2 linked regions of the Callithrix jacchus genome follow. Each later gene encodes a partner of the first gene's protein in a complex. Links are inferred from orthologs where the notes say so. Each region holds a gene or a part of one and is shown on either strand. Other genes may lie near its edges.

Region 1 (3,686 bases):
GCCCACAGTGGGGTCCTCGGCCCTCCAACTCTGTTTCCTACCATGCCCTGACTCCTGATGGTCTGCTTCCTAGGCTCCAACACTTAAGTTTCCGATCAGTCCCAACCACCTACCCCAGGGAGGGCCTAGAGCAGCTGATCCTCTTGCTTTCACCTAGTCCCTCCCTCCCTAGCACTGACACTGGTTTGGCTGAGGCTAGCTCAGGGATGGGATCCAGAGAAACCCGGGGCTCCTACTGAAATTCCAGCAAACCCAGGGGTGCAGGACAATTCATCAATAGAGTAACCTAGTGCTCTGGAGTTGGGCGAGAGCAATCCCAGATTACTGTGGAGTTAACTTACACTGGATAAATGCCAACCCCCCCTTCCTCTTCCCCCAGGATGGGAGTGGCGGGGAGCTTGGCAAAGACAAGCGGTGACCAGCAATACTGAAGGAAAAAAGACACTTTCTAGACCTGGAGGAGATAAAAAGAGGCCATATTTCCTGCAGACAAGCCAAGGGGAATTATTTTGCTTCTTTTTAATGTAAACAGAATACACAAACACATTAAAAACCCCAACATGACACAGGAGAATATACACGGAATTATATATAGATATTTACAAGCCATCAAAAGCAAAAAGGAAAAATGGCCCCTCTGGTTAAGGGAAGCTTCTCTTCCTATCTCATCCCTGTCCAAAATCAAAGTGCTGAGGCAGCTGCAGGAACCTCTGCGATTACTTCTGGATATAATGTAGCAGGAGGCTGGAATGACATCAGAAACCCCCCACCCCCACTCCAGAGCACAACCAAGATACTGACTTTCTGGCCCTGGCCCTAATCCTAAACCCTCCTCCTTTGCAAGCTGACAAAGCAAGGATTTGTCTGTCTCGGGAGGCGTCAGCTTGACCCCTGAAATTCAGATGCACTGCAGAGGGGTTCCCATCCCATTCCAGCTTTCCCAGCCTTGGGCTGATTGTGAAATGAGCCAAAGTCAACCATGTCCAAGAGAGGAGGGTGGAGGAAGTAAAGAAAGAATGGATCCCAGGCAGAGATGACTGCTTCTGAGCAGGACCCTGGGAACTAACGGGGAGGTCAAGCTGGGCTCACCAAAGCCCAGAAGAGACTGTGGAGGACACAGTGGGGCTGTGCTGCCACCTGGAGGGGAGTGGGAGCTCTGCAGCAATGAACTAGGACAGTACTGCAAGTACCTTGAGATCATCCTTTCTTTCAGTTTCAGTCTCCTAACCAACAGCCTCACTGCAGCAGCTCTTCCCAGGAAATGGGCTTGGAGAAGACCTCCCTTTCTAACCACAAGTCATAGTTCATCTGAAAGTCCTCAGGGAGGTCCACCCGTTGGCCCAGGACACTCTGCAGGCAGTTGTCCACTGGCAGGAAGTCAGGGTTGCTGTGGGCCCGGTCATAGCGCCGGGCATTGAAGCGTTCAATGTTGGCACGGAGGGCACACTCCTCTGCCTGGAAGTCCCAAGGCCGGGCATCAAGATCTGAGACAAAGCAGGAAGAACACAGTTAGGAGCCAAGCCCTGTGGCAGCTCCCCATGGATTCACTGCAGCTCAGGGGCCTGGCTAGGAATGTTGAGTGTCAACTAGGAGCAGGACACCTCCGAGTTCATCCTCAGAAAGATGACAGGAATTCCCTCCTAGATCCAAAGGAGAGTCAAGGATAAGCAGAAAAGACAGAGGTACTGAGAAAGAGGCTTATACTGTACGGATTATGTAGACCCAGAGAGGGAGAGCCATGTATTCAATACGTTTCTGTCTAAGTGGCATTCTCCCTGGCTCTCTGGGGTCAAAGGCAGGAAGCCTGGCAATACTCTCATTTGCTCGTTCTCTCCCAACTCCCTGACCAGGTACTGCGTGCCACCATGGGCCTGCACACATTCATAGGGCATTGGGAGTACAGACACAGTCATTTAGCCATGGTGCTATATTCCAGGTACACAACAACGCAGCAACACACACACAGAGCAGCCCAGGTGGGCAGGGGAGGTACTGCGGACAGAAGGAAGAGTGCCTGCAGAGCCTGGCAGTGGGAGCCACATGGCTCATGTGCCAGGACCAAGCACTCCTTGTGCCTGTTGCCCTGGGTATGATGGAGGCTGGGCTGACAGCAGGGAACAAGGTTGAAAAGGAAGCTGGGTCAGATTGCAGAGGAGGAGAATGAAAAAGGACGAGTGAGCCTCACATGCCCTGCCTAAGAGTTTGAGTCTAATTCTAAGGGAAATAGGAAGCTAATGAAGGATTTTACTCAGGGCAGTAACAGCACAGGATCTGCATGTTGAAAAGATTCACTAGGGGGCCAGGTGCAGTGGCTCATGCCTATAATCCCAACCCTTTGGGAGGCCAAGGCTGATGGATCCCTTGAACCCAGGAGTTCAAGACCACCCTGAGAAGGCGCAGTGGCTCATGCCTATAATCCCAGCACTTTGGGAGGCCAAGGCGGGTGGATCACTTGAGACCAGGAACTTGAGACCAGCCCGGCCAACATGGTGAAACCCTGTCTCTACAACAAATCCAAAAATTAGCTGGATGAGGTGGCATCCAATTGTAGTCCCAGCTACTTGAAAGGTTGAGGTGGGAGAATCGCTTAAACTTGGGCGATGGAGGATGCAGTGAGCTGAGAGCCTGGGCGACAGAATCTCTATCTAAAAAAAAAAAAAAGTCCACCCTGGGCAACATAGTGAAACCCTATCTCTACAAAAAAGATACAATTAGCTGGGCATAGTGGCAAGTGCCTGTAGTCCCAGCTACTTGGGATGCTAAGGCAGAAGGATCACTTTAGCCCAGGAGGCAGAGGTTGTGGTGAGCCGAGATCACACTCCAGGCTGGGCAAGAGAGCGAGACCCTATCTTTAAAATAAAAAATTAAAGTAAAAAAGAATCACTAGGGAAATCTGAGACACTGATGGAGGGGAAGGAACTGGAGGAAGGGAAGTCAGTCTGGAACTATACTATAAGAGTTTAGGTAGCCAAAATGGGGGTGAAAAGAGGGGACAAAGTCTTTAAACAATTTCTAGAAAATGAATGACTGGGAGGGACAGGGAGAGATGGGGCATGATCAGAGATGCCAAGCCTGGGTAGCTTCCCAACGTCCTTCCTAGAGTGCCTGTCCTGAGGCAGCAAAAGCAGGAGCTGGGCTCCTTCCTGCTCCTCGGTGGGAAGCTCAGGGCAGAGAAGTGCCTGAGTACCACGGGCAGGGACTGAAAGATGTCACCTTTCCCAAACACCCCAATCCCAACCTGGCTGAGTGCAGAGCCTCACCATTGCCGTATGCCCAGTCGTCGTTCAGCCGATGCCGCACCTTCTGGTAGATGGCAGACATGGTCTTCATGTTGCTCTTTCGCCACTGCCGCCCCAAGTATTTGGTCTGCACCTTGAGCAACTTCAGCACATAGAGCTGCATCATGGCTTGTTTCACCTTGAGGGCCCGCTTCAGGATGGGGGCTGACTTGAACACCACCAGCATCTAGGAAGGGAGATCAGAAAGCAGCCCAAGGTGAGGACAGAACTAAATGCAGACGGTCGGGTCACACTGCCGCTTAACCCTCTGGAAGTTATGGGCAGGGTGACAAACCATCCCAGTTCCCCTTGGACTGAAGGGTTTCCTGATACATAGGACTTTAAATGCTAAAACCAGTAGAGTTCCAGGCTAACCAGGATGGTCAGTCACCCTAACTATGGGTCACT
Region 2 (2,999 bases), on another chromosome or scaffold:
ACTTTAAAAACATCTGGCACACTTTTACGTAACATCTAAAGCCTGGCTCCACTCCCAGCCAACTGAATCAGAATCTCTGCAGGTGGGGCCTAGGCAATAAATTTTTTAAAAACTAGCCTCAAGTGACTCTAATGCATAAGAAGGATTGATAACTATTGCTTTAACTTTAGTTCAGTAGTTCTCAACCGACCTGTAATGTCAGCATTATCTGAAAATTTCTAAGAAATGCAAATTCTTGGGCTCCACCCTAGACCAAAGAAATCAGAAATTCTGGAAGTGGGACCCTTGAGCAATTTGCAATTTGTGCTGTAACAAGTCCTCCATATGACTCTGATGCTATTAAAGTTTGAGAACCATTGTTTCAGGAGTGTATAAAGTAGACCAATACACTAAAAATGCTTTTTACATTTTTAAATGCTAAAAAAAAAAAAAATATTATCTGACAGGTAAAAATTATTTCAAGATACTGAAATTTGAATTTTGTATAAAGTTTTATTAAAACACAGTCACCCCTCCTTGTTTGTACACTTGTTTGTACAAACAAGTGGCTTGTTTCTGTACTACAATAATAGAGACGAGGTGGATAATGGCAACAGGCCCACCAAATCTAGCATATTTACTATCTGGCTCTTTTCAGAAAACGTCTGATAACTCCTGCTCTAGAATGGAGTTATGGCTAGATTTGCAACCATTCATTTTCTATTTTTAATGGTCTGCCTTGATTACCAGTTGCCTGGAATACAAACACTAAAGTAAAAGGGCTTAATGTATATGGTTTTCTTATCATATAAAACAACATAACCTATTTAACTTTAAAAGTAAAGGATAAATTACAGTACTTACTTGCCATCTTTAAAATATGTTTTCAGAGTATCACTGAAACTTTTGGAGTACTTTACAAATTCTTTCTTTTGGTGTTCAAGTGCCTACAGACATGAAATATAATAAGAAAAACATACTAAGTAAGAGAAATAATCACAGAAGCCAAAGGCAAGGACAGGAGATTACACAGAATATGGGATGGTTTATATGAATATTACTAATAGGCAACAATTATTTATTAAATTATTATTAAATAATTGTTTAAATTATTTTTTAAATAAAAAGGCATATTTAAATTCAAGGATAAACTCAATGGTTAATGACACAAACCTATTTCCAATAATCAATCTTATTTTTAAATCAATAAAACTAGGCAGTCAACTAGGAAGGCTTCTACTAAACATACCCTGCGGTTCTGGTACTGATATTTCTTGAAGACATTATTCACTGTATCAAGAAGTTCTTTTATTGCACTAGCTATATCCCTGTTGGGAAAATAATAAAGATTATCAGCTACATTTGAAAGAAATTTGTGAAAGAAAAGAACATCAGCTATATTTGAAAGAAATTAAGTACACTCAATCTAATCACAGCACACAATTATCGTAAGTACAATCACTTCATCAAGAGCCAACCTCTTGGCTGGCTGGTTGAAGAGGGGGTTTTAGCATGTATCCCTCTGTAATCCTAATTCTCTTGCATCACCCACCAAGGCTGCCAACCAATACCAACTTTCTCCAATCAATCACATTTCATTCAGCATTCCCTACTCAAATTTATAAAAGGATAAACATTACCTATGCCTGTCTTTTCCCATTTTAAAATTTGTCTTTGCTCTAGCTAACGGAGCTAAATTCAAGCTATCATATTCTCTACTTTTGTTATTTGAACAATTAATAATGATTTTATTAAATTGTGCATTACGTATACATATAACTCAATTCTGTATTTAACAACACTGATGCTAGATAACTATTAGTTTTGATGTTTAACATAAAATAGTTCCTCCTCAGAAAAGATTCCTCTCCTCTAAGAAAATATTCCTCCTCCTTTACTCTTTCATAGACACTTTTAGGTTCCACCCAGCCACCAAATATCCTCCTCTTGCAAACACTTGCTGTCAGTCACTATTCCCTTGGAAAATATATTTAAATTACTGGGGGAGACAACATCACAATATTCTTCTACTTTAACCTTTCCAGAAATCATTCTTTGACCATATAAGCATCAACACCTTCCTCCCATTTCTAAAGAAAGAAAAAGAAGAAATCAGTAATTCTCATTTGAGTTGACTGCTCTTCCTATCCATGCACCATTTGTTCTGAACATTTTCTGACTTTATAGCTAGCCCCTTTCGATTTCCATTCTAACCTCATAGCATTTTTTTTTGTCAAACTGTAATGTAATTCTGCATTCTTAAATAGTCTCACATTCTCTAAAACTAACCTTCTTTTTCACTTCCATTCGCTTAGCTGTTAGTCACTACAAAAACCTGTTCAAATGGAACTGTGAAGAAATGAGTAAGATGTAAATCTGCCCCATCCTAAACATAACATTTTATTACTAACATTAATTACAAATGTCAGATTTAAGTTATTTCATATCGAAACATTTCAGCACTCTTATTTCAAGGAAAAAAACCTCAGTGTGCACATTTCTGTTTGCATGTGTTTCCCAGCATATTTTTCAGTAAATAAGCATGCAGAAACTTTAAGAATTAAAAGCATACAGAATTTTGATATAAACAAGTATTTTAGATTATTCTGAAGTAGTAATTACATTTTCATTAATTATTTCAATAACATTTTACTTATTACCTCTCTCAGGTCAAACACTCGTACTGGGCTGAAACTTGAAAACATTACGTATTCAAGTAGGACACTAAGTCTAAAATAAATGTTGTCTGTCCAATTTTTTTTTTTGCCTCTGGTTTAGTAACAGCAGTTTTTAATTAGATAACTATTCCTTCGTTTATGGCTTAAGCAAGTTAATCTTTATATACTGGTGTGATGGACATAAACCTACCACTGTTTAACAAAATGCTATCATAGGACTATTCTATGCAAGAAAAATTACAGTTTCAACAACAAAAAAATATTAACTCTAAAAATGTGCGAGTTTCTCCAAATCCGCAATGGAGTTATTTAAAATGGAATACAAGGGAACAAATTACACAG

Evidence for each region. The genes of interacting proteins can lie anywhere in the genome.
Region 2: STRIP1 (region 1) and PDCD10 share a complex: the UniProt entries of both Homo sapiens proteins name them as parts of the core of STRIPAK complex. The link is inferred for Callithrix jacchus from reciprocal best matches to the Homo sapiens genes STRIP1 and PDCD10.

Annotation. Positions count from the first base shown.
Region 1 is NC_133508.1:147,906,130-147,909,815, reverse strand, and holds the end of STRIP1 (striatin-interacting protein 1), read right to left. Parts: intron 3,466-3,686; coding exon 3,261-3,465; intron 1,485-3,260; coding exon 1,237-1,484; 3' UTR 505-1,236; downstream 1-504. UniProt on the Homo sapiens protein: Plays a role in the regulation of cell morphology and cytoskeletal organization. Required in the cortical actin filament dynamics and cell shape. Part of the striatin-interacting phosphatase and kinase (STRIPAK) complexes.
Region 2 is NC_133518.1:19,357,089-19,360,087, reverse strand, and holds part of PDCD10 (programmed cell death protein 10), read right to left. Parts: intron 1,308-2,999; coding exon 1,229-1,307; intron 927-1,228; coding exon 844-926; intron 1-843. UniProt on the Homo sapiens protein: Promotes cell proliferation. Modulates apoptotic pathways. Increases mitogen-activated protein kinase activity and STK26 activity. Important for cell migration, and for normal structure and assembly of the Golgi complex.